Linked DNA regions of Cricetulus griseus. The protein of the gene in region 1 purifies or fractionates together with the protein of each later gene. This does not show direct contact. Links are inferred from orthologs where the notes say so. Each region holds a gene or a part of one and is shown in the gene's direction. Other genes may lie near its edges. The genes, in order: Capza2, Kiaa1671, Cnot1, Cracd, Tnks1bp1, Twf1 and Svil.

What was found.
Region 2: the proteins of Capza2 (region 1) and Kiaa1671 purify together in Homo sapiens (affinity purification with mass spectrometry; 3 studies listed by BioGRID and IntAct, counting the BioPlex papers as one, with this or other methods). This does not show direct contact. The link is inferred for Cricetulus griseus from reciprocal best matches to the Homo sapiens genes CAPZA2 and KIAA1671.
Region 3: the proteins of Capza2 (region 1) and Cnot1 purify together in Homo sapiens (affinity purification with mass spectrometry; 3 studies listed by BioGRID and IntAct, counting the BioPlex papers as one, with this or other methods). This does not show direct contact. The link is inferred for Cricetulus griseus from reciprocal best matches to the Homo sapiens genes CAPZA2 and CNOT1.
Region 4: the proteins of Capza2 (region 1) and Cracd purify together in Homo sapiens (affinity purification with mass spectrometry; 3 studies listed by BioGRID and IntAct, counting the BioPlex papers as one, with this or other methods). This does not show direct contact. The link is inferred for Cricetulus griseus from reciprocal best matches to the Homo sapiens genes CAPZA2 and CRACD.
Region 5: the proteins of Capza2 (region 1) and Tnks1bp1 purify together in Homo sapiens (affinity purification with mass spectrometry; 4 studies listed by BioGRID and IntAct, counting the BioPlex papers as one, with this or other methods). This does not show direct contact. The link is inferred for Cricetulus griseus from reciprocal best matches to the Homo sapiens genes CAPZA2 and TNKS1BP1.
Region 6: the proteins of Capza2 (region 1) and Twf1 purify together in Homo sapiens (affinity purification with mass spectrometry; 3 studies listed by BioGRID and IntAct, with this or other methods). This does not show direct contact. The link is inferred for Cricetulus griseus from reciprocal best matches to the Homo sapiens genes CAPZA2 and TWF1.
Region 7: the proteins of Capza2 (region 1) and Svil purify together in Homo sapiens (affinity purification with mass spectrometry; 3 studies listed by BioGRID and IntAct, counting the BioPlex papers as one, with this or other methods). This does not show direct contact. The link is inferred for Cricetulus griseus from reciprocal best matches to the Homo sapiens genes CAPZA2 and SVIL.

What each region holds. Positions count from the first base shown.
Region 1 is NW_023276806.1:208,890,533-208,894,032, reverse strand, and holds part of Capza2 (F-actin-capping protein subunit alpha-2), read left to right. Parts: intron 1-2,684; coding exon 2,685-2,891; intron 2,892-3,500. UniProt on the Homo sapiens protein: F-actin-capping proteins bind in a Ca(2+)-independent manner to the fast growing ends of actin filaments (barbed end) thereby blocking the exchange of subunits at these ends.
Region 2 is NC_048597.1:92,814,329-92,818,537, reverse strand, and holds the start of Kiaa1671 (uncharacterized protein KIAA1671 homolog), read left to right. Parts: upstream 1-1,409; coding exon 1,410-2,926; intron 2,927-4,209.
Region 3 is NC_048596.1:171,908,708-171,912,207, reverse strand, and holds part of Cnot1 (CCR4-NOT transcription complex subunit 1), read left to right. Parts: intron 1-475; exon of another isoform or gene 476-719; intron 720-888; exon of another isoform or gene 889-2,122; intron 2,123-2,960; coding exon 2,961-3,093; intron 3,094-3,500.
Region 4 is NW_023276807.1:143,290,549-143,294,048, forward strand, and holds part of Cracd (capping protein inhibiting regulator of actin dynamics), read left to right. Parts: coding exon 1-2,371; intron 2,372-3,500. UniProt on the Homo sapiens protein: Involved in epithelial cell integrity by acting on the maintenance of the actin cytoskeleton. Positively regulates the actin polymerization, by inhibiting the interaction of actin-capping proteins with actin.
Region 5 is NC_048599.1:90,486,593-90,490,704, reverse strand, and holds the start of Tnks1bp1 (182 kDa tankyrase-1-binding protein), read left to right. Parts: upstream 1-1,312; 5' UTR 1,313-1,444; intron 1,445-1,954; exon of another isoform or gene 1,955-2,338; intron 2,339-3,714; exon of another isoform or gene 3,715-3,867; intron 3,868-4,112. Other genes in the region: FACT complex subunit SSRP1, read left to right, coding at 1-37.
Region 6 is NC_048595.1:391,074,365-391,078,331, reverse strand, and holds the start of Twf1 (twinfilin-1), read left to right. Parts: upstream 1-1,167; 5' UTR 1,168-1,299; coding exon 1,300-1,324; intron 1,325-2,699; coding exon 2,700-2,777; intron 2,778-3,967. UniProt on the Homo sapiens protein: Actin-binding protein involved in motile and morphological processes. Inhibits actin polymerization, likely by sequestering G-actin. By capping the barbed ends of filaments, it also regulates motility.
Region 7 is NC_048596.1:209,309,419-209,312,918, reverse strand, and holds part of Svil (supervillin), read left to right. Parts: intron 1-990; coding exon 991-1,860; intron 1,861-2,208; coding exon 2,209-2,373; intron 2,374-2,989; coding exon 2,990-3,024; intron 3,025-3,500.

The sequences.
Region 1 (3,500 bases):
GCTTTTATGAGGCTGAGACAGCAGAATTGCCATTAATTAGATGACAGCTTTAGTTACATAATGAGTACCAAGATAGCCTGAGCTACATTGAATAACCATGCTTTCAAAAACATAAAGTAATAAGGTTCCTATAAAATAATTGCTTTAAATCTGTAGGTCTTGAAGTCTTTGGTTGCTTGTACTTGGCATTACTGTGTAATAAAAGTTTAAGGGAAGAACTGTAAGACTAGGCAGTTTGTAACTAAAGGGAAAATATACACGTATGACACGTTTGACATTAGAGAGCTCAGTAGTTAAGAGGACTAGCTACTCTTACAGATGACCCAAGTTTGGTTCCCAGCAACCACTTGAGTAACAATTGTCTATAACTTCTTCTTCATGAGCATCTACACTCACATGAGCAGCTACACGAACATACATACACATAATTTAAAATATATTTTTAAAGATATATATGTATACTTGTTACTTCATTTCTCCAGAGATTTTGGTCTTTTGATTTTTTTTTTTTAATTGGTTACCATTGCAAGCAATACTACATTGATTGTCTTTGTATTCCTGGTAACATTGACAATGGTTTTCTTTAGATAAATCTCTAGCAGAATTAGAGAATACGTCTTTTTAAAATGTTTAATGGTTTCTGAAGTCATTTAACAAGCTGGCATAATTTCAATACTTCAGACCAAAAAATTTCTTAAAAAGTGATGTATACTAATTCCACACATGACTATAGTTTTAAAAAATTTAAGCATAGTAACAAATAAGGACCAATAAGATGGCTTAGTGGGTAAAAGCACTTGGCTGTGTAAGCCTGATGACCAGATTTTGACTCCTGGAACCCACAGTGGAATAAGTGACCTGGCTCTTAAAAGCTGTCCTCTAAGCCTGGCATGGTGGTGCACAGCTTTAATCCCAGCCCTCAGGAGGCAGAGGCTATCGGATCTCTTTAGTTCGAGGCCACCATGGTCTACAAAGCAAGTTCAAGACAGCTGTTAACACAGAGAAGCCCTGTCTCTAAAAGAACAAAAAACAAAGCAAAACTGTCCTCTGACATAATTGCTATATGTCAATTAAAGTTTAAAAAGTTAGCTGGGGGCGGGGGTGGTGGTGGTGGTGGTGCAGCACACCTTTAATCCCAGCACTTGGAGAGGCAGAGGCAGGAGAATCTCTTGAGTTCAAGCCATCCTGATCTACATAGTGAGTTGCAGGACAGCCAGGGTTGGTTACACAGAGAAACCCTGTCTCAAACAACCACAACCTGTGTCAAACAACCTCAAATAAATGGATAAATTTTAAAAACATAAAGCTTAAAAAGAATCCATTGTAAATAAGAACAGTGTTAAGGATTTACAATAATACTTCACCATTTTTAATGGTGCTTTGCCTTTCTCTAGAAAGTAAAACGCTTGGAAATAAAGACATGACACCACTAATGGATTGGTGGATTGAATTATATTAACACCATGGCATATTTGGCAACCATTAAAGAGAATGGTGAGAGATAGCTGGTAGCCTTTAAGAGATTTCTGTAGATGGTTTGTGTTGAGAAAAAAAATCTAGGTATGTGTGGCTTAACAAGAGAACAAGACCACCAGAGCCATGTCTTGTCCGAAAGGCAAAGATTTATTCAGATGAAGACACGCTGTTCCCAAGAGAAGGGAACGTAGCATTGCCAAAAAGGAGTTTGGGGCTTTATGGAGTGCTTTTAATTGGGCAGGAATGTTGCAGGAAAACATTAAGTAAAAGGAACTGTTATAGGCAAAGGAACTGCATCAGGTTTTGGGGGTGGGTTTTCCTCTGGCCATTAAGATGATAGGAGACTGTCTGTGATCAAGTTTTGTTGAGACAAGGGATCAGCAGACTTCTGAGGAAGTGTAGAATGTTCAGTTTCCTTATCCCCATTGAGGTTGGGTCTCATATGGTCACCCATCTTTATGTCTTCGGTACTTTTCATCTTAAGCTAAAGGTCTGAGCCAGCCCAACAAGTTGTCATAAAAATGTATGTTTGTATATGCATTTTTATCATTCTTTGAAAACAGTGGCCCACAAACCGTGTGTGTCTGCAGATATGTAGATAGATAGGTGTACATATTTATCTAATGTGGCATTTATTACCACAAAAATTTTAGAAAAGCTACATCCTATGTTGTCAGCATGATTTACATCAGAGGGATGGGAAAGTCTTGTCCTGGGTCAGTACTTACAGACTAGGACAGCTACAGGAGAAAAGGGGGGTATGTGTGTGTGTGTGTTTTAAGTAAGACACAAAATAAAAGGGTTGTTCATATATTTCTTAAATGTACATAAATGTATAAATTTTGTTTTAAAGTTTTAGAAACTACTAATGGTGATTAGTTTATAAGAAACAGAAGCACATGCTGGGGAACAGAGAAGACTGGGTACCAAACAAAGCAGGATTGAAGAGCTGCCTCACTGTATTAAAACTGTCAGATTGGCAGGGTCTTGGTTGTCAGAAATAGTAAACTGTGGCTCATTGTGTGGGTAGGGGATAGATAGAGGGCTGGATAGTCAGTTTCCCATTTAGTATCCAGAAACTGTACTGGAAGAAACTCTAATGCACACTAATTAAGAATATCTCTGGTGTCCTTGTGGGGCTTAAACAAGTGTCTGTTACTGTGCATCCATGTTAATATATTTTCCCTAAATTCATTTGAAAATTTAAGGTGTTGATAACAGAACATGGAGACTTGGGAAATGGAAAGTTTTTGGATCCAAAAAACAGAATCTGTTTCAAATTTGATCATTTAAGAAAGGAAGCAACTGATCCAAGGCCATACGAAGCAGAGAATGCTATTGAATCCTGGAGAACTTCAGTAGAGACTGCACTGCGAGCTTATGTAAAAGAGCATTATCCGAACGGGGTCTGCACGGTGAGTCACCAGTGGGCAGTTCTTCCTTTGTTTCTTACACATCTGTGGCAGTCTGTATAATCCCCTGAAATTTAAAGCAATGTGTACAGCAGCCATAGCTTCCAAAGTTCTTTCTTCAAACAGTGTTTACCTTTCTAGAAATATATTCTATCTCCAAAAGGTTGACTGACACAAGAAAATGGTGATGCTATTTTTAGTCTTTTGTCCATGTTTCATCTATTTAGCTTGAATTAGCTTTAATTCAGTTACAGAAATCTTAGAACAAATAAGATAATTATTTCAAGTATTTTATAGTTTTATTTCCCGTTGTTTTAATGTTACTTGTTCATTGATTTAACCTATGTCTATTTTTTTCAAAATGAATTAGAGTAGGAAATTTTTTTTTCCCCCTAGGATTGTTTGTATCCAGATAGACTCTTCACCAGAATTTGGTCTTCTCCAAAGTCATAGTGATCTTTTTTTTTTTTTTTTTTCAACTTTTTTTTATTTGAATTAGAAACAAGATTGTTTTACATGACAATCCCCGTTCCCTTCTCCCTCCCGTCCTCCCCTACCGCGCCCCCCCCACACACACACACACAACTAAAACCCTACCTATCACAAATCCTT
Region 2 (4,209 bases), on another chromosome or scaffold:
TCCCAAATCTCCATTCTGCTCCCAGCTGAGTGGAGACCATATTCTCAGTGGAATCTGTTAGTCCATGGGGTGTGTAATGAGGAGAAAAATGCCAAATCTGTCTGCTTTCATTCCCTGCAGTGAAGGAGCCACACAAGGCCTGGGAGGTCCTTGGTTAATCAGGACACTGTCTCCCTTCTGATCACCTGGAGAAGCTGGGCCATATCTGGGGTAGTTAGGAAGGGCCGGCTATCATAGCCGAAGCAGGGAGGGTCAAGAGCAGGGAGACTCTTAGGATTCTTTGAGGATTAGAGACAAGCTAGAAAAGCTGTATTTTACAGAGGCAGGGCTGAAACTCAACAGTGTGGCTCTCACCTGTAATCACAGCACCTGGTGGGTGGAGGGAGGACACTGGGGAGCTCAGGGTCAATCTTGGCTAGGTAGCGAATTCGAGGTCAGCCAAACAACAACAAAAAAGACCAGGCATAATGGGCCAGGACGGGAGGCCTGGTTCTAGCTGAGTGAAACCAATTGGGGACTTCTCTGGGCCTATTTTCTTCTACCATCCCCACCTCTCTGAGCTGCTGGAGGATTCAGGTGCTCCTGCCTGAGGGCAGATCTCAAAGCTGAGCAAGTCAGGCTAGTGGCATCCAGGCCACTGGGAAGTGAGACCCTGCCTGCAGGGAGGATGTGGTACATGGGTAGAGTAGCAGATGCACTTGGCGTTGCTAGGCCTCTCAACAATAAGCCCTCATCCTAGCCACGACTCTAAGGGGCTGGGTCTGGTGCAGCATGGAGAATGTGCAGCATGCATGAAGCCCTGGGTTCAGTTCTCACCACTGCAAAACCAACAACCAAAACAAACAAGGAAGCCGGCATAAACAGTTGTTCAACAGCAAAACCAATAGCAAACAGAAAACAGTCGGTTGAGTGAAAATAAAACAAAACAAAACTCCCAAGGACTTTGTTTTTTATTAGCACTTGGGGAGATGGGGAGAGGCAGCTGGCAGGGTTCCGTGGCCCCTCACTATCAGAATTTCCAGAGCCTCCTGCTTTGCGTGGCTGTGTGAGTCGAGGATGGTTATTTACTCTCTCTCTGCTGGGTAATCATCCTGGGTTTGCTGGAGCTGCCTCCAGACTGGCTGAGCCAGGTAAGGCCTCAGACCACAGGGCTTTGCCTGACTTCTCTGAACAGAAGGTCACTGTCTGTGCCTTTCCAGGGCCCAGCAGGATGGCTGTGCATCTGGAGCTTGCCCGGTGAGATTAGGATCTGGGGCTCTGGGGCTAAGGTCTCTGGGTCTCATTACCCCAGACCCTCACTCTGAGTCCTACAAATACGCTTTGCTAAATTTACTGTTTAAAATTTTTTTTTAAGCAGTTGCTTCCTCGTTTCTGGTGTGCTTAATCCTCATGGAGCTACATCCGTAACCATGGTGACGAGGGTCGAAGTTGGCTCTATCGCATCCCTGAGGGCGGGGCCGGGCCTTGGTGACATCAGCAGGGAGGAAGCCCTGAAGAGGACCTACTTTTGCCAGACTGGGGACGTCCCTGGGGCTCCCTCCACTAGGCTCCTAAGAGCTAAAAGCCCCCTACGGACCCACCTGTTCCCTCTGCCCATTGCTCCTAAACCTTTTCTTAAGGAGCAGGTCCTTGAGAAGAAGGCTCCTGGTACCACCCAGTCCTGTCCTTCAGCTGAGACCGACAAGAAGGAGGCCAAAGAGGTCCTGGCCAGAAGGATGCCGAGCTTAGCTGGTCAGGAGGCAGACAGTGGGGAGACCCTGCAGAATGGCCCGTCTGTACCTAACAAGGCCACGTTCCTGAGGTCTGGCCCCAGTACCATGGGCTTCTTTGAAACGACCAAAGCTGGACCCAGCCTGGGCAAAGGAACCAGTGAGAGGAGCCTGGAGTCTAGCTCCCGAGCAGCCCAGGTATCTCCCTTAAGTGCCAGGCCTGAGGTGGCTGCCAAGCCTGCCCTCCCTACTCGAAAGCCCCCAGTGACTCTGCCCCGACCAACCTCCCTGTCACAGGATGCTGGGTCTGCTGTATCCCAGGAGGAGGCAGGCCGAGCCCAACCTTTGCCAAAGGCCCACAGTGTGGAGGACCCCGCTGGCCAGGCTCCAGAGGCCAAGCCTCACCCCAAGAGACGGCCCATGTCAGCAGTGTTCAGCGACTACCTGCAGCCCCCCAAACCAGGCCCAGGTGGAGTGGCAGTCATGGGCAAAGTTCCCCCTACACCTCCGGAGAAGACATGGGTGAGGAAACCCAGGCCTCTGTCTATGGACCTGACGGCTGCGTTTGAGAGCAGAGAGACGTTGCTGAGGAAGGTGGCCGGTGAGCAGACTGTAACAGAGCCCCAGGGCCCAGAGAGGACCAGCATGGAGCGCAGGGCTGATGTAGAGGGTCCTGCCTGCATGAACACCACCCCTCAGGACCCAGATTCAGACTTCCAGGAGGTGGCCAAGAGGCTCCATGCACGGAGGGAGAAGGTTCTTCTTAAGCAGACAGATACAAACAGTCCCAGGACTCCAAGGGCCAGGGTCATCCCTGGAGATGATCAGAGTCTCCAGGTTGAGGAAAAGCCAGATCAGCAGTCAGAGAAGGTGCTGGAGCCCCCTTTGCTCAGGCCAGGAAGAGGCCTGGGGCTGGCCCAGGTCAAGGGTGGAGTGTCTGACCAGGAGGCTCCTGCAGGGATGGAGAGGAAGTCTGCCAGGAGCATCAGGAAGCGCCTCAGCCTGTTTGAGGAAGGCAGTGCTGCAGCCTTGGCAGTGGTGTCCGAGCCCTCGCCTGTGACCCCGGAGTCCCAGTCCACAATGCCAGAGCCTGAGAGAGCTGGTGTGAATGTTCAGGCTCTGATCAAAGGCTGGACTGTGGAGAGGGCAGGGACGAAGCCGGAGGTCAGGAGAAGGGCATCACAGGGGCAGTCGTTGCCTGCAGATTTGACCAAACCGTAAGTGGACACATTCCAGAACCTCGCTCAGCCTCAGGCTGCCTCGATACCCACTGACGAGCCCAAGGCTAGCCCAATAACTACATACAAGCTCAAGGCTAGCCCAACACCCACACACCTATTCCACCACTGCCCTGAGGGGAGGTGAGAATGGTAATGATTGCTCTCAGACAGAGGTGAGAAGAGGGTCTGGACATCCCTAGCGCTGGGCTCAGTTGGTACTCACCATGGGGGCACAGTGGGAAATGAGGTGAGAAGGTGAGGTGCTGTAGTGAAGCTGGATCAGTTCCAGCTCAGCCTGGTTCCGTGGCTAAGCTGTCCCCAGGGTCAGACTGCCTTTTAGATTAGAGGAGCAGGGATAGCGTGTGTCTCAGTGACAGAGTACCCACTCAGCATATGCAAGGCTCTGGGTTATATCCCTAGCATCTCCCTCTCTCTGTCTGTCTGTCTGTCTGTCTGTCTGTCTGTCTGTCTGTCTCTCTCTCTCTCTCACACACACACACACACACACCCACACACACACTCCCTCTCTCATTCTCTCTCTCACTGGTTTATATGTTGGGAGATTTTTGGAAGAGATATTCACAAGTTCTCTTTCTCTCTCACACACGCTCTTCATCTCTCTCTTTCTCTCTCTCTCTCACATATACACACACACTTTCTCTCTCTCTGTCTCACACACACATACACACATATAGAGATTAGGCCTCAACATCCATGAATATATTGAAAAATAAAGCCAACATCCTAGATGACCAGGGCCACTGTCTAATGTAGCCCAGGCTGTCTCAAATTCTCTAGGTAGCTTAGGATAACCTTGAACTCCATGTCCTCTTGATTCTGCCTCCATAGATCTGGGACTAGAACCAAAATTCCACCAGGACCTTCCATCAGATAAGAGAGAAACTCTGAAGGGATGTGGGCAGTGTCCTCACAGAGGAGCCCTCAGCCTGGTAGCCCTCAGTGCACAGAGTCATCAACTGAGGTCATTGCCAACACTTAGAGTACCACACAACACCTCCCACACCTCCAGCCTTGTTGTTTTCCACTGTGGCCGAAGCAGGGAGATGTTACAAGGCGGGATCCACCCTCCTCAGTACTCTACATGCTTCCACGAGGGTGAACTCAAGGCCCTGGTAGCTGGTGCAGCCAGGGACCAACGTGAATTCTTTGGGTCCAGGGAATGAAACCCAAGTCATCAGACTTGGCAACAAATGCCTTTACCCCCTGAGCCATCTCACAACACGCCTCAGGGGGTGCTGGTTCACTGGTTTATATGTTAG
Region 3 (3,500 bases), on another chromosome or scaffold:
CTTTACAACTACAAAATGATTTCACACTGGGAGAGTGTGGGAACATTGAATTCATTTCAACATAGACTCTGTAGCATCTATCTGTTTTATCCTCTAAACGGAAGAATTTGCCCCAAACCAACAACAGTGTCCACCACAGAGGAAGCCCATGGGAAAATCAGGGAGGACAGAAAAGATGGAAACATAATTCACCCACTTCTCTATTACATTTCCCCGAATCCTCTTTGACTCCTAGTCCCGTCTAACTTAATGTCTCATTGGCCAAACAGTATTTTATTTAACAATCAATAAAATAAATATACACAGAACATTCCCCATCACGCTTCCCCTGCTAGGAAAAAATAAAACAATTCCTAAAACTGTACCTTAAAAATACTTTGACGTTTTAAGCAGTTAATTCGTATCCCAGACCTGAACAGTGGAACACAGAAGCTCCCTGAAATCAGCCCCAAGTAAATATGGCCATGAGCAGACATCATCCTGCGTATACCTGAGGCTGCAAGGGGTGGGCGGGGGGTGTCATTCTCTACATTTTCAGAGTCAATGGCTGCTAATGGTTGGTTTGGGGGCTTAATCTCAAGTGGGTATTTCTCAGCAGTGTCTTGAACTTCCTTGGCAATTCTGTCCATCCAGTCTATTAAGTCTTTTTCAAGTTTCTTAGCTTCATTCATGATCCTTTCCTGACGTTCATTCAACTGAGACAGGAGGTCCAAGTTCTTTTTTGGTTTTTCAAAACAGGGTTTCTCTGTGTGGCTTTGGAGCCTATCCTGGCACACGCTCTGGAGACCAGGCTGGCCTCGAACTCACAGAGATCCGCCTGCCTCTGCCTCCCGAGTGCTGGGATTAAAGGTGTGAGCCACCAACACCCGTCCAGAGGTCCAAGTTCTTATACATTTGCTTCACACCTAAGCAGGCTTCGGGGGACCAGGTCTCAGACTCCTGCTTCCTTGGGGAAGTCTGGTCGGACATGTATCGGTCAAAATTCTCCTGACTTAAATTCAAAGACTGAGCCTCTAATTTCTCAATGAAAGCCACAGCACAGCACAGGTTGGTGAAATAGTAGCCATCTTTGCCAGTCATAAGCCGGCTGGGTTTGCAGAAGCGAGTGGTGTACTGGATGTTGGACTGCAGCCGAGGTGGGGGTTGCCCTTCAGGAGGATGTAGATGAGGGTGGGCAGGAAGTCATCAGCTGAGGCTGGCTCATTCTTGGTCATCTGATGGCATTGAAGATGTGCTTGCTGCACGTGATGATGCAGGCTAGCTTGTCCCGAGGCACACGCTTGAGTCCATCTCAATGATGTCTGTGATCGCTTTCACCACCATGTCAGACACGTCAGGGATTTCCTCATTGACAGGGACACAGAGCATCTGAGGTGTCACCCAGTGCAAAGCCCTGATCCTCTTTTGAATGGCAAGCTCTTTTTTCTCATTATCAGTAGTCTCTGGGCAGAACACAAATTTATAGAGACGGGTCATAATGTGCTTTTCCATCTAATCCATTATCTGGAGGCACTTTTCCACGAGTCTGCATTCTTTCAGCCACATTCTGGTATAAGTCCTGAGTACATTCTGACTGTTCCTCAATGCTTAAATCCCTTTTGTAATGCATTGCTTCCAAGAACATCTTCATCTGTTTATAGATTTCTTGGCCTGTCTGTGTCTTGAGAAAGTCTATGAACTCTTTAGTTATTCTATCCGTCTCAATGCTGATTTGCCTGTTTATGGAGGGTCTGGGAGCTTTGGCTTCCTGAATGTCTGCCTTCTTGGATCCAACCCTGGAAGAGGCATTGAAGAACTTCTTCACTGTGGTGACCTTGTGGGTCTTCTCATTGGTTTTCTTTTCCTCAAACTTGGAGAAAGTGAGGGACTGGGCTCCTTGGCTGCTCTGACTGCTAGCAAAGGCCTCTTCCTCTTCCCGCTGGCCTTTCTGCTAGCTCCCAGTCAGTCCTCTTGGATCTGCTTCTGGTGGGCCTTGTGGTACTCCTCCCTCTAGCACTTAGAATAGAAACCCTGCCAGGCAGGGGTGCCCGTAGTAACTACATCCTTTCTTGCATAGGAGCTCAGATTGAGCCACATGAATTTCCCAGCGTTCAGACTTCAGGCTCATCTTTCTGGTCCGCCCCTCCTCCGGCATCCGACAGCCGCTCCCAGCGCCACTTCAGTCACTCTGCTCCTCGCCCCACCCCTCCACAGCAGTTTTCTAAGTGCTAGATGAAATAGAATGTTTTAGCTGGTTGGATGGTGAGACAGTGCTGAACTAGGTCTCCACTATTGAGACATTAAAGGAAATCTGTAGAATGTAAAATGGTAGCCCTCCCTCCCTCTTAATTTATGTATTTGCATTGTTGTTTGCCTACACGAGCATCTGTGAAGGGTGTTCTATTCCCTGGAACAGGAGTTTACAGACAATTGTTAACTGCTGTGTGGGTGCTGGGAATTGAGCCCAGGTCCTCTGGAAGAGCAGTCAATGCTCTTAAACCACTGAGCCATCTCTCCAGCCCCTTAAGAATTTCAGTAAAACATTTTTATTAACAGGTTAAGCACAGTCTTTTTATAAAAACAAGTATGTAAGGCTGGATGGTGGTGGGTGCATGACTCCTGAATTCTCTTGGATCTACAGAATTCCAGGACAGCCAAGACTACACAGATAAACCCTGTCTCAAAAAACAAAAGACAAAAACAAGTGTGTAAGAGTTTCGCTAATTCATAACATGGAAAGTTTTGCAAATAAAACCTACAGAAGCAAAAACAGTGGGATCCAGAGAACCACTAGTAAACCACAGAATTAGAATAACCTTCACAGATTTTCATGTCATCCTTGCACAAGGCCATGCTGATTTTCTTATTTGTGTGGTTAAAAGTGAGTTCCCTGGTATATCAGTCCCCTTCAGAAACAGAACATTTGTCTCCCATATTGGCCTTTCAGAGTAAACCCAAAATCTCATTTCCTTCATTTTTAGGCCGGTATCTTTTCTTAAATGCAATTGCAAACCAGCTGCGGTACCCAAACAGCCACACTCACTACTTCAGCTGCACCATGCTGTACCTTTTTGCTGAGGCAAACACTGAGGCAATCCAGGAACAGATCACAAGGTAAGAGATCATTGTCAAGATGCCTTAAAAGGGCACTATGGACTTCCCTTTAAGGTTTTAAGGAGGAGAAACTAGGAGCAAACTGTTTTCTGTTGTTTAATATGCATATGGTACATAGTACAGTGAGGTACACATACCTTAAAGATTTTAATGTATGTTAGGTGTGGTGGCACACCCCTTTAATCCCAGCACTCGGGAGGCAGACAGATCTCTGAGTTCCAGGATAGCCAGTGCTACACAAAGAAACCCTCAATAAAACAAAAAAGATTTAATTTACCTGTTCACCTCAATAAATACTAGTGCCCATTGTTCTCAGATGTTCACAACATCTGAACTGTTGTGTTTAATGCATGCTTGGATGACAAAGTACCATTTTGTTTGTAATTATGTCTAAAGCTGCAACAAAG
Region 4 (3,500 bases), on another chromosome or scaffold:
CTGGAAGAGGAACTGAGGCAGCGTGAGGCCGAGAGACAGGCAGAGAAACTGAGGCAGGAAGAGGAGCTGAGGCAGCTCGAGGCTCAGAGGCAGGAAGAGGAGCTGAGGCAGCTCGAGGCTCAGAGGCAGGAAGAAGAGCTAAGGCAGCTCGAAGCCCAGAGGCAGGAAGAGGAGCTGAGGAAGCTGGAGGCCCAGAATCAGGAGGAGAAACTGAGGCAGCTCGAAGTCCAGAGGCAGGAAGAGGAGCTGAGGAAGCTGGAGGCCCAGAAGCAGGAGGAGACACTGAGGCAGCTCGAGGCCCAGAGGCAGCATGCTCAGGAGGAGGAGGAGGCCAGGAGGATGATGCTGGAGCTGAGGCAGGAGGAAGAGTTGGAAGCCGACCACATAGAAGAGCTGAAAGGGCAGGCAATGCAGGCGCCAGGGCCGCAGGTGGACGAAGGCCCCCAGAGTCCAGAAGGAGAGAGCCAGCCTCGGCTATCGGACGACTCTGATCAGCAAAGCCCACTGCAGCGGGACCTTGAGAAGCCAGAGGAACAAGAAAACCTGGAATCCGTGGGGCAGAAAGAGATGGCCCAGGAGCAGAAGGAAGAAGCCAATGCGGGCAGCGAGCCAGCAGGGCAGAGGGGAGACTTGAGCATGGAGTGTGGGGGTGTAGACGTGGAAGAGAGAGAAGCCACTCAGATAGACAACCCCCGGCCTCAAGAGGAGCAGATTGGCGGAACGCCGGCCTCAGAGGACAAGAACGAAGCTGTCCCTGCAGATAAAGACCGAAAGGTGGAGGAGCTCCGGTGGCAGGAGGTGGACGAACGGCAGACCATGCCCCGGCCCTACACGTTCCAGGTGTCCTCCGGGGGTAGGCAGATTCTCTTCCCCAAAGTCAACCTGAGTCCGGTGACTCCCGCCAAGGACACGAGCTCGGCCCCAGTGACCCAGGAACCGCCGGTGCCTCGCGGTGCCGCCCCACACGCCCTGCCCTCTGCGCTAAGCATCCCGCACACAGCCATTCTGGTCACTGGAGCGCAGCTCTGCGGCCCGGCGGTCAACCTGAGCCAGATCAAGGACACGGCGTGCAAGTCCCTCCTGGGCCTGTCAGAAGAAAAGCGGCCGGTGGACGTTCCCACAGTGGAGGTCAGGTCCAGCGGCAGCAAGGCCAGGCCTCCCCCGGAGTCGCCGAGCAATGCCGCGGCGCTAGCCGAGTGGGCTTCCATTCGATCCAGGATCCTGAAGAATGCGGAGGGTGACCAGCGTGGCGACAGAGAGCCGGTCAGAGCCGGGGACGAGCCCGCTCCCCGAGTGCGGTGCGATTCCCGAGGGAACCTGCGCAGGACGCCGCCAGTCAATGCCAAGTTCTCCATCATGCCGGCCTGGCAGAAATTCTCAGACGGCGGCGCGGAGACCTTCAAACAGAGCCTGGACGGTGAAAGCGTAAGGAAAAAGCTGGGCCCAGCACCGGGTGAAGAGACAACACCCCAGCCTCCGCCTGCTGCGGCTCCGGAGCCTCGGAAGAGCATGGAGAAGCAAGAGGTGAGCCAGGAGCCACCAGACACCACTGACGGATGCAAATTTGCCAAAGACCTTCCATCTTTCCTCGTGCCGGGCCTGCCTTCTCCGCAGAAAGCTGCTTCCCGCACAGGGTCCACGACCACTTTGGACAGCGAGACCACGAGTGAAATAGGAAAGCCAGACCCTGTGGTGCCAGGAGGTGAGGAAAAGGTCTCGCCCTTCGGTATAAAACTGAGAAGGACCAACTACTCCTTGCGCTTCCAGTGTGACCAGCAGGCTGAACAGAAGAAGAAGAAAAGGCACAGCAGCACCGGAGACACTGTGGATGGTGGCACCCCCGCAGCCGGAAGCGACCCTGGAGACAAAGAACCCGCAGCGGTGGCCCTCAAGCATGGCACATCCCTTCCCCAGGAGAAAAAGCTAGCCCCTCGGAGGGACTCTGCCGAAAGCCCTTCTAGGGGTCACTCTGTTGCTGCAGCCCAGTTAGGGCTACCACCAGCCAGCAGCCAGACCCTAGTTCCAGAGCAGGACAAGGCAGTAAGCAAAACACCACCAATACAGAAGCCGGCCCTGGCTCCCAAGCCCACCAGCCAGACTCCACCATCATCCCCACTCTCCAAACTGAGCAGACCCTACTTGGTAGAGCTGCTTGCTAGGCGGCCTGGGAAGGTGGATTCCGAGCCAAACGAGGCTTGCAAGGAGAGCCGGGAGAGCAGTGATAACCAGCCGTCCTCACCAGCACTGCCAGAGGAGCCGAAGGGGCCAAAGAGGGATGAGGAAGAGGTGCCTGAAAAGAAACCGGCTTCCCCACCTCTGTCATCCAGCCAGCAAGAGAGACCTTCACTAACTTCTGAAACAGGTAGAAAAGGTATGTGGCTGCGGATCACACCGGGTAACCAGCTTCTTTCGGTGGAGAGGGAATTGAGAGAGAGCCCAGGGAACTGGCTCTGGGAACATCTTAATTAGAAACAAGTTGGCCCCAAATCAGTTCTTCTACACTTTAACATCCTTTGGATTGAAATGTAGCCCCAGTTAACACAGATATCTTTAACCATTTTGAGCAAGTCTGTAGAGGTGATCAAAAGTAGAGTTTTCTAGACCGGAAACTGCCTTCCCTCTGGGTGGCTGCTGCAGAACAGAGAGAGGAAGGTCCTGGCATCAGCCTTGGAACTGTGGAGTTTCTTCGCTGTTATGTAAAATGAGCTTAACATCCTCTCAGTTCTGCAGACTTCCCGTAGTGGCAGCACTTGGGAGGCAGGAACAGGTGATCTCTGAGTTCTAGGCCAGCCTGGTTTAGAGCCAGAGTTCCAGGACAGCCAGGGATGCACAGAGAAACCCTGTCTTGAGAAAAGAAGAGAGGGAGGAAAGAAGGAGGGAGGGAAGGAAAGAAGGAAAGGAAGGAAGGAAGGAAGGAAGGAAGGAAGGAAGGAAGGAAGGTTAGTCAGAGCAACCCTTGGCTCTGACTGCCTCTTCATACTGAACATTTGAGGTGGCTAGATGGAGATCTGAACTGGCTTTTGTGCTTCCATGGAATGTTCACCTAATCTTTCTAGAGACAAAGTTTGGATCATGGCCAGGAAGGTTCTCTTTTTAAGTGTTCAGATTTGGGGTGGGTTTTGCTTCCTTGAGAAGTGTTGGCTTGGTTACTTCTTTTCCTTTATGGAAGCCCCTAGAGTACTGCGGTGAGTGTGACATGCCAGAAACCATAGATGGGCATGGTTATGTCTTTCTGCAATGTCAGAATTGATCAAATAACAGTAAATTCACAAGCTATAACAGTTTTATTGTTAGCCGTTTGCCAAGCAACCTCTGTTTTCCTTGGCCATTGGCAAACCAAGTTCTCTTAGTCCAGTTACTAATATTAAATCTCATATCGCACACCACATACAGTAAAAACGCACATGCACCCAAACATGTTATGGAATGCCGGCAAAGTGTTAAGCCTCAGCAAGGCTCAAGAAATCCAAAGAGGCCTTATTGGAGGCAGGGAGCTGATA
Region 5 (4,112 bases), on another chromosome or scaffold:
AAGCTCAGAGGACTCTGCCTCAGGATCTGATGAGTAGAGGAAGAAAATTCTTGTCCTTGCCCTGTCACATCTCCAGGCTTTCTACATAGTTCTTGGACTCTGTGCCATCTGAGTAACTGCTCCTGGTGGCTTCCACTTCTCTGAGGCAGGCATCAAGGGAAACATCTAACCTCAGCTGCTTTGCAAGAATGGCTCCTTGTAATCTGGGGAAAGACTGGGTAGGAGTGCATTCTGTCTGCTCACAGTGCGTTGAAGGATCTAAGTCCTCGGCTCACTTGCCCGACTGTAGGGATAAAGCTGCTTCCTGTCTTATTCAAGTGGCTGCATCAGGGGTCATGTGAAGTCAGGCCTGTAGCTCCTAATAGGGGCCTATTTCTACTTTTATTTTGTATTTCTGGTCTGTGAAGTCAATTTAATAAATGGAACTGACTTTGGAAACCATGTCCTTATGTCTCCTTTCCCACTTTACATGTGGTGTTTACCCTTCTATCCGGACTCTGCAGGGCCCTCCTGCCCAGCTGGGAAGCAAGTCTTGAAGCACATCCTGTCCTTCCTGGCTGGACAAGCATTGGTTTTCACCCTTGTCTGTGAACAATGCCACCTGAGAGTCAAGAAATGAGTGCTGATCTGATTAGGAAGCCTCTCAGAGTTCCACTCCATTAGCCAGCACAGGGGTGGGAGTCGGAGGGGGCGGGGTTCTCAGCTCCATCCTTAATCACTTTAGGAGACAAGGGTCTTATAAGGCTTGAGGTAATAGAATGAGGATCGACTTTCTAGTGCAGGGAGTGGAAACCTGAGTCAGGAGGATGAGTAGTGTGTGAGTGAAGTTAAGTGTGTGAAGGGAGGGCTACAAAATTTCATGTTTGGGAAGTGTATCTAAGAGAGCTCTTAAACAGATAACACGAGGGAAAAAGCTACTCCACTTTCTACTGTGGCTTTCAATCTGAATTTATACACGACGGGTGGCCACGTCGCTTGCGCTCCCAGGAAGACTCAGGTGTAACAGGAAGCCTGTTCAGTCCGCCAGCGGTTCCCTTCGTGCTGCCCGCGCTCTATGGTGCTGTAATCAGTGTAGGCTTAGGGAAAGCAGTCCAGAGCGGTTTCCTCTCTAGGCAGTCATCTCGGTGGCGCTGGGGTAAAATTGCGTCAGTTTCGCCTAAGTCTGAATCAGGACCGGCTCCTCATTTACAAGGTCATGAATAATTATGTGCGAGCTGTGCTTGTTTGCATCTCGTGGGCCGGACTCTGTTTCAGCTTCGGCTTCCCTCTCACGGATTCTTATATGAATATTCATGAACGGCATGGAGGCGTGTCCCTGGGCGGGGCTATGGGAGGGGCCCCGGGGCTTGCACTGGCTCGGTCCCGCGGTGACGGTGGCGGCAGCGGCAGCAGCGGTCACTGGCGTCGGGGTGCCTAGCCGAACGGAGCCCGTCCCGGGGAGCGCGTGAGTGTGCGGCGACGGCCGGAGGGGGCGGGGTCCGGGGATGGGGGCGGGGAAGGGCATGGAAAGAACCGGGCGCCTAGCAGTCCCGACCTCAGATTGGGGCGGCGGCGATGGTGGTGGGGGGGTCACTAGGAAAGTTTGCGAGGGCCTGGGGACGCGGGGGCGCTGCGGAGCTGGAGCGTGTGTGCGGGGGTGGAGAGCACTCGTGCCGGGAGCCAGAAGAAAGCGGGGAGAGGCGAGGGTGGGGCGGGGCCGGGCCGGGGGCGGGCGGAGCTACTCGAGGGACCCCCCCCTCCTGCCTTCACCGGCCCTCTTCCTCAACTCTCATGGCACGCCCCCAGCCACCCCAGGCCGCCCTCACAGTCCTCCTCGCCAGTCCTCGGTCTGTTCCTTCGCGGGCTGCTTGGCATCTCTCACTGTCCCCGCTGCTGCCGCCCCCTCCTCCTCCACCCTCATCTGCTCCTCCTCTTCGCCTGGCCGCTCGATGTCCGTAAGCTCCCCACGGAGGCCCTCCAAACAGCCCCTTGCCCTGGGCTGTTCCGCCTTCCTGTTGGCCCTCCCTCTTCCAACACTTAACCCTCCTGGTCGCACTAGTCGCACATTCAGCAGGAGACCTTTAGGGACGACCCTGCCGGCCCTTAGGGTGCCTGCCTGCCCAGGACTGAGGCTGCCTAGTGCCTTCCCATCCTTTGGGGGCAGCCTTTACTCCCAAGGCTGTCTGGTTTCCCTAGACCATTAAGGGTGCGGAGTTCTTGAGGCACTGCGATTCTGCAGCTTGAGGCCATGGCCTTGGTTTCCTGGGGCTCCTGGCTGGGGCCTCTCTACTGTAGCCACCTCCTCTGTCTTCATCTCTGCAGCCCCTTATAACCTCAGAGGTGTCCATCAAGCCCACAGGTGAGAGGATTTTTTTTTCTAGACTAGTTTTTCTTCATTTCTAACCACCCACACCATATCCCTTGTAATAATGTTCAAGGACAAGGAAGCAATCTTGTGTATTTTTAATTTTATTTTTTCCTGTCACCCCCTCCCCCCCCACACACGTTATTCTCCCACGCACAGCCCGTGGTAATTGGCTGATCAGAGATTGACATTGTCACAGTTTCTCTCCATACCCTCTTCGAAATAAGCTGGGACAGGGTCAAGGGGATGGGGATGCCTTTTGCAAAGACTGGGCACCACAGGTCGTTTTTAGCATTGAGAGCTATCTTCTCAGACCAGTTGGAGTGGGAAAGGGACTTTGAGGTTGCAACACAGTGAGGGTTGGGTTGCCCCTCCAGGGTTGTGTGCATTCCGTGTGTTAGGCAGCTTCTCCCTTGCTTTTGAACCTCAGGGGCAGTGCTTGCTATTCATCAGGTAGCAGAGCCTGAGGGGGCCTTGTGGGTGGGAGGGTGCATCAGCACCCAGGGTGGGAACTGAGGAGGTGGAGTGCCTGAAGAACTGATGACTTGGGGTCATGAAGGACTGGTCTAGGAATGCAGCCTAGGGTAGGGGGAGAGTTATAGGTGGTTACCAAGGATGTTAGTTAGCTCATTAGTGACTCCGAATGTAGTCACATTAATAGTGGCCAACTGTTACTTATCACTTCCATGCTTGGTATTTTGCATGCATTATTTGGCTTGAAACTCAAGTCTTAATACCCCATTTTTCAGATAGGGAAAAGTCACACAGCTTTAAAATGGTAGACCCACTTAGCTGTTAAATCTGTTAATATCAGATTCAGAAGCTCATGTGACAGGCTACTACTATGTGGCTGTCATCTGGTTTAATTTCTTCTGGTCCCTCAAAACTCCTTCTGGCCGTTTCCAGGCTAGTGATCCACACATATTCCTATTTCACAGTCTATGCAGGTCCCTCCCTGACTGTCCTGGAAGGCTGGACCCTGAGGAGTTTTCCTCCAAGTCAAGCCTCCCACCCCCACCCCCCGCCCCCCAATCAAGTCCAGTCTGTCCTCTCCCTGCCCATCCTGGGCCGGCTCCTCCTTCCCTTTGGCTAGGCCCTGGAAATCCAGTGGGAGGCCATTGCTATGGTAACAGGACTAGGCCCTGGCTTTACCTCATCAAATTCCAAGCTGAAGCCAAAACGATTGAGAAATTAAAGGAAAAAAATGTATTCCAGATGTTTACTTTTTATTTCTTATTTCCCCGTGTTTGGATGAGACAGCTCTGAGAGAAGGAGGAGGGGGCAGGGATGTGAAAGGAGAATGGGGAGAAGGGGGTAGGGAGCCACTCCCAGCCCATAGAGGGAGGGAGGAGACTGGGAAGGGGGGGGCGGCAGTGGGGCGGAGCCCCAGGTCGGGGAGGAGCGGGTTTTTCCCGTCTCCCATGAGGTGATTCCCGAGACTTGAGACTTTCCGGCCCTCTTACCCCGCCTGGAGTGGATACCTCTAGTGGGGCTGCCTGACCAAGAAGGGTGTCTTGGGAACTGTAAGTAGGGTGTCACAGGAGGGTGCTTGGGGATGTTGTGAGTGAGGTGGCTCTCATGCTCCAGATCTCTGAGGTTCAGAGCCAAGAGTTGGAGAGTTGTAGCAAGGATGTGGCTGTGGGGTCCTTCCCCACCCCGCCTGTGGGGACCTCCCCGACCTCCTCCTGGAGTTCTCTCTTCCTGTCCCACACAGCCTGGGTTAGAAATAGACTTCCTTGGCTAAGCCTGTTGACTCGCCCAGCTCTTT
Region 6 (3,967 bases), on another chromosome or scaffold:
AATAATAGCCTAAAGTGAGAAAGAATTTTAGCTACTATCTGCTGTTTCCATACAAATTTATTCTGGGTAATTATGAATATACATTTGATTTGAAACAACAAAGGGCTAACCTGAAGCAAAGTCCTATTGATGGTTTTCAGTGGTTTTCACAGAGGTCAGCTCAGTGCTTCAGTGACTTTATACTCAGGTCTGAGGAATCTGATAAAGGACAATGAGATCTCTTAAGGTGCTGTGAACTGAAATTCCCAGGAAGAAAGCCACCCCACACCTGCTAAAGCCTCAAAAGGTTGCCTGACTGTTTAGAACTACCTGATTGTGTAGGACTGTGGTGTTGTAGGTCCCAAGCCAGATTATCTTGGACTGACCACTTCCATGTCTTACCTAACATCCATCTTTGGAACCATTAGGGAAATCCTTTTATGATGGTCAGACGACTTAGCTTAAAGGTTAAAAATGTCATCAGCTAATATCTGAACCCATGTCCCCACCAAATATAATTTTAAAGATGCATTGATTTATGATTTCTTTTGTTCTGCTACTGCAAAAAAGAATTCATACAACTGTTACCAAGTTGGAACATGATACTAGGGGATGGCGCGCTCGCCACACACACACACACACACACACACACACACACACACACACACACACACACACACAACCTGCATATTTGGTTTCAGAATAAACTACCGTTTTCTCTTTGAGGTGAGAACTGTGGTTTTGTGTGAGTGACCAATTAAAAAGTGAACAGCTTTAAATTCAAATCACGAGGGAAATGATGGAGGATTCTATACTCTCATATTTTAAAATAGGCCAGAAGTGGTCTTGAACCCCATCTTACTTATGCTGTGCTAAACTGTTTTATCTGTGGACTTAAAGGGGCCTTTTCCTTACAACAAAGGGCATGTTTTTTACTTAGAAAACGTACGCTTGGGGAAATGGTTATTTCTCCTCTAAGATTAGTTTTTTGGTATGGGTCGCAACACGTCGCCATAGGGTGCTGCCTTGTTAAGCACAGCAGCAGAGGGCCGGGAGCGAGGGGTGGGGCCAGTGACGGAAAAGGCGTGACCAGAGGCTGGAGGGGCGGGGACTGTGACGACAACAGAGAGAAGCCAGTGAAAGGGAAGGAGGTGGGGATGTGGGCGGGCCTATGCCCGGCAGGCGAAGGCAGCTGGTGCTGGGAGGCGGGGCGGAGGGTCGCGGGCAGATGACGCGCAGGCGGACCCGCTACTTCCTGGATCCGCCGGCCGGTGCCGCTGCCGCACCCTGCGCCGGAGCCGGGAACCTGCGGCCGCCACCATGTCCCACCAGACAGGCATCCAAGGTAACGGCGCCACGGGGCAGGGGCTCCCGGGAGGCGGCGGGCCCGAGCGCTGGAGGCGCGGACGGCTTTGGAGCGGCTCTGGGTGCGACGGCCCCGACCGTGTCCCTGGCGGCCCTTCCCGGCCGCCGCCACGTTAACAGGCAGTGGCTGCGGGAGAGCCGACAAGTGTGGATCGGTATGGGGCCCGACCTGCCGCCTCCCGGGCCCCCGATCCTGGAGCAGGAAGACCCGAGGCTGGCCTGGCTCCGAGCGACTTTCCTCGGTACCCCCTGCCGAGGAGATTGTCCCAGCACTCATTTGAAAAACAAACAAATCCCACAGCTGTAGGCTGCCTCCCCTACTCCTGTTCTCTCTGAACGGGAGCGTGCTTTCCTCTCGGTGAAATCCTGAGGAAGTGTTTTTCCATCTTTGGATGCTCCCCAGGCAGCCGAAGTCTGGTCTGTGTGTCTGCAACTAATCACCCCGTGGAGACAGTTCAGTGTGCAATTAGTTGTATCCCTTAACCCTCCATTATTTCCTGGTTTGAAAACAGGCAACTTGGAAGTACTCGCCTCCTCAGGATCAAATAATATATCCCGGAGTTATTTAACGAATGCTAGCATAAACTAGAGCACTTCCTGTAATAGTCAACTGAGTCTTTCCCCTTAGGTGACCAGTTAATAACTTGTTTTGTGCTTCAGGGTTTTTGACACCTTTCTTCTATACACACCCAGGCAAAAATAGTTTCATGCCGAAAAACATTTGTCTTTTTTTCCGTGTAAGTTTTGACATTTAAATTTGTCAAAATTATTAAGTTTGATGTTTGAGCCTTTTATATAGCAAGACCTAAATAGTCGTCTTGCTGGGAATCAGCAACACAAGGACAAAATTGAGTACACAAGGGATAGGTTATTAAATGTTTATATGCTCAGTGACTACTATAGCCTTTTGAGAGATACAAAAAAATGTAAACACCGGAAGATCTAGTGCATTTTACACGCTTTTCTTTTAATCAGAATATGAGACTTGATCCTATTGTTTTTGATGGACAGATAACAGGAAATGAAGGTGCTGTCACAAACTTAAAACTGGACTGTAAAAGCAACTTTCAAGGTTTTCAAACATGAAGTAATTTGTCCATTATTGGGTTTGACTAAAAGTATTCACAGTGTTACTTCTGCTATAGAATTCTGTAACCAAAATGTTGAGTTCATTTACTTTAAAAATGTTAGTATTTATTTTTTTAGTAATATTCAATGCCCAAACTCTGTGTGCCTTTTATAATAACAGTAAGAAAGTGCTATATACTCCACATTTTTCTTTGTTTTGTGTAAAGAGCAAAATAAAGTACTTTTAAGTTAAAAATGGGTTTATTTTTCTGTGTCATTTTCCACAGCAAGTGAAGATGTTAAAGAGATCTTTGCCAGAGCCAGAAACGGGAAATACAGGCTTCTGAAAATATCTATTGAAAATGGTTAGTTAACATTTTAAGATACTATGTGCCAGTTGAGTATTTGCTGTTACAGTTTCAGGTTTCCAAGTGTTATTAGTAATTTTAACTATCAATCAGCATGAAACAAGTTTAGATTTTTGCCTTTCAGCATGTTTTCCTTTTAAATTGTGTAGCTATTGAGGAAACTCCAGATGGTTTCTGCTGTGATAGCTTCATCTTTTGTGTATCCTTCTGCGTTATAATCCACTTCTAATATTAGTGCTTCCTCTTCCAGAATGGAAATCGGTAACTAGGAGCTACTTTAAAACAAACAAAACTAATTATTTGTGAGTTAATTCAGTAAAGTATGTTTTGATTTAAAAATATTTCAATGGGTTTTTTTTTTATTTTGGTTTTTTTTTTGGGGGGGGGATCTGATTGGGCCCTAGAGTAAAGAGAGTATTGCTATTTCTTGTTTGGAAACATTCTAACAACAGGCTCCTTAACAGTAATTGTGTGATTGGGAAAACTGTGTGAGTGGCCATATCAGATCAGAATTGGATGAATTTGAAGTCACTCTTGATAGTTTTTTATCAAAATGAATGTGCTAAAATCATCCCCTTGGCCTTCTCAAATACCCTCGAGACTTTTGTTTTGGAAAAATAACTTGTCTTTCATGAACTGGAAATAAATCAACTTTAGTTTTCATTTTTCCACCTATTAAAAGTGAAAATAGTTTAGAAAAATCTTACAATATTCAATAGGAACGATTGTCTACTTCATTGAATGTCATTACTTCCTAAATGACTAGTTAGTAAACAAAATGGGAAGATGAAATGTACCTAATTAGCACTTCTTCAGATAGAAAATTTTTATTTCCTAAATATTTTCCAGTTTTTTTTTTAATCTTAGAAAAATGTCAAATTAGGAAATTTCAGAGAAGAAAAAAATAAATACCTACCTCTTAAATTAATGACTTGGTACTTTATAGTTTGCTCCAAGCCAAATTTAATTTTTTATATTTTTTAATTTTTTCTCCAAATTTAATTTTTTAAATGTTACTGTTTTTCTGATGTAAAACATCTTTTGACTGCTGCACTTCTTTTTTTTTTCCCACGGGGTAGCTGCAGTTTAAAGTTTTATATGTATATGAACTATTCCCTTTACCTAAATGCCTGCCTAGCATACAATGCAGTTCTGAGTTTTTAAGTTTACATAAACTGCATATTGTT
Region 7 (3,500 bases), on another chromosome or scaffold:
AGCCTCCTTACCTTGTGGCATGAGTCTTTTCTTCCCCTGTGGTGGAGACCAAATACAGGGCCTCATGCATGCTAGGCAGCACCCTCCCCTCCCACCCACCCTACTGTTTACATTTTAAAGGTAGAGAGTACTGAGTTCTGGGAAGGGCAGGTAAGGTCCCCCAGGGTTAGCCGGCTTCTGCAGAGATGGGAACAGTCAGTAACTTTTGACATCATTTTCAGTTTTGCTGTCAAATATTTAAAAATCAGAAACAACGAAAAACAAACCCTCCTTAAGTTGGTTTTTAATTAAGGTGCAGCATCAATGGGAGAGAGCTAAGGCCTCATGATTCTCTTAACAAATGCCTTCTTCCTAACATTCCTGTGGTGGTGTGGTCATGAGTAATGACATCCAAACTGACCATGTCTTGGGTTCAGATGACATAGTCAGCTTAGCCTCCAAAGTCTGCGACGAGTATGTGTGTAGTGCTTCGAGAGGTAACTAAGCAATGAAGCTCAGTTGGAAACGTAAGTAATCACAAATGCCCACCTATCCACTGGGCAGTGAAGTGGCTGTCTCCCCGAAGAATATATGTTTCCTTGGCACAGCCAGCCACCCGCAACAGCCACACCTGGGTCTGGACTTGTACAGGGTCCTGAACTAGGCATTGCCTCCTGTACACTAATGCTTACAGTGATGTGTATGAATGAAGTCTCCCGGGGCGGCTAAGTATTTCATTAGAATAAGCCGATTCAGTGAATGGGCTTATTCTAATGTGACTCTCAGTTTAACTGGGCAGGGAGACTTTGGGGCCACACTAGAATATGAATGCAGATTTGGAGATTTCACTTCATTTAACTGGCAAGCACTAGGTGTCTGTGTTCAGTGCCCAAATGCATTTCCACATGTTGCTCTTTCTGCATTGGCTCCAAGGCCATCCGTGTTCTGTGCATGCTCCCTTCCCCTTCGGTGATTTACACACCACAACATAAATCCTATTTTTTTCTTAAGAGTTAAAGTTAGAGAAAAATTGGTGAAAGAGGAGAGTGCTCCAAGCAGCCCTGAACTCACCTCAGAGTCCTTAACTCAGAGGAGGCAACAGCCAGGACCTGCGCATTTCCTGTCTATCCAGTCAGAAAGCTCTGCCTTCAATAGGGTCACCAGCAAGGTAGTGAGCTCACTACGGCCAAGCCGGAGCTGTGTCCTTCCAGCTGACCCTGTTCATGCCATCAAGCTGGTGACCGTGGATACCCCAGAAAGCACATCTGAATGCAGCTGGGTGGAGTCAACCACCCCAAATGTCATAAAATCTACTACCTTGAAGATTCTAGAAGGTGGGTCGAGGAATGCTCCAGGACTGCGTATCTGTGAATCAAAAGCAAAAGATGTGCTTGCCCCTGAAACTCCGGAGAGGAGCCCCAAATCACTCTTGACCTCGGAAGATGACAGCCTGGTGAGAGGCCACGAAGATCCCTCTGGTAATGAAGATTTAGATGAGTCCACCATTCACTCCATCGCCGTAGAACCTGAGAGGGAGCGGCGAATTCAACAGCAGCCCACTCAGAGAACTGACCGGAGTGCAATGGTTCTGTATGTTCAGAGTGGTCCTGTGTCCCAAGATGCCACATTGACCAGTCACACAAAAGAGGCCTCTCCAAAGAAGCGCAAGGTCCTGGCCCGCTCCCTGTCGGATTACACAGGTCCCCCTCAGCTCCAGGCCCCCAGACACAAGGATGTAGCCCCAAACCAGGAGCTGGAGCTGCGGAGTTCCAGGGCAGAAGGGCCTGGTGCAGAAGCCAGCATGCTGGACACCAGAGTCTCCGTTGCCCAGCTCCGAAATGTGTTTCTGGAGTCAGCCAGAGCCAGCAAGAAACCTGAACTGTAGGTGATGTTCCCAGCATCCTTCCGATATGTCACTTGCACGTCTTTGGCAGACGGTTCACTTCTCCACCCATGGTGTGTCCTGTTAGCTTAGCTCACAAGTGTGTGCAGGGCAGAATGTACAAGAAATGGCTCACACACTACCATTCTGCTTCTGCCTACTAATTGGGATCTAGAGGAGTGGGTCTCTGGAATGTTCCACCTGCAGATGCGATGCGCATGGTAGCAGCATGTAGAACCTAGCGCTCTGTGTCTTCCACTGAGATGCATAAGCCTTTCCTCTGTTCTCTCTCTCTCTCCCTCTCTCCCTCTCCCTGTTTTGCACTCACTGCCCTGTGGTCCTAAAAGCCAATCCCGAGTTGAGAGATCAGCTGAAGGAATTGGCTTGCCCACGGAACGGGAGAGAGGGTCTCGGAAACCAAGACGCTATCTTTCTCCTGGTGAAAGCAGAAAAACTTCTGAGCGATTTAGAACTCAACCTATAACTTCAGCAGAGCGAAAGGAGTCGGATAGGTAGGCACGTGTGTGTACTTCCAGCAATTCAAACACGGGGTTCTCAATACCCTGGTGGGCCTGATGCTGTTTGCATAGGATTCCAGGATTATTCCATCTCAGCTGTAAGGATACTTTTATTTATGGAATTGTATTTCCAAAGAATGTTGCTTTTTATACCTGATATCCCCTATAGGTGTGAACTGCCCGCAGATCAGGTGAGGAGAAACACTTTTCTTCAGTCAGTGCTTCTCATTTTTTGTGCTTTCATTAAACCAGGGTTTGAACTGAGCATCTGCCATTGGGCATAAGGGATTTTGTATTCATCTTATAAACAGCTTACTTTTTATATTTACATTTTTGTATGATGCCATCATATGTTAATGTATAGAAACCATAAGGTTCACCAGAAATGTGCACTTAGTCCCACGTAATAACTTCTTGTCAGTACTACTTTTTCTCCACAAGTGTGCACCAGGCTGGGGTTGTGTGTACACGCTCCACAGTGTCAGCTAACAACTGTTTGTAGTCCGAGACAACTCTTTAAGATAGTTCACTTGCATTGTGTTTCATGTTTCATGTGTAGCTTGTGTGCCCACCACTAACCATCACCATTATCTGTTTCTGTTTTTCCTAGGTACCCTTCGGGTTCAGAGGTGCCAATGGTTGAGGGCAAGTATCTCTTTTCTTTTTATTCTTCCACATCATGTCCAAATTAGATTTAAGACCTAAAATTTGGGGCTTTGGGGGAGATAAAACTGGAGCCTATCAGGTTCTTGCTTTCTTCCAAATTGCCTTGCTATGAACCCTAGGTGAAATTTCAGATAAGCCTTCCCTTAGCTTTTGGTAGAAGTTAAGAGGCTTCTTCAGTGAGCAATACAAAACAGCCACTGTGACTAAAGAAGCAGATTTCACTGGTGACTGCAAGGCAGTCTGTTCCTAAGGTCCCTCCTTATATCCTCTTAGTCAGACTATTACAATAAACATCACCCTTCTGGACACAGTTTGGTTTGAATTGCGATGAGAACGCATGAGCTCTTCATGAAGGGAGACTTCCCATTTGTGAAGTCAGTTCACCTTCTCTTGGATTCGAGGGCTCGCCAGGTCAGTCTTGAAAAGCATTTCAGAGAGGAAGCCTGTGCTTTCAA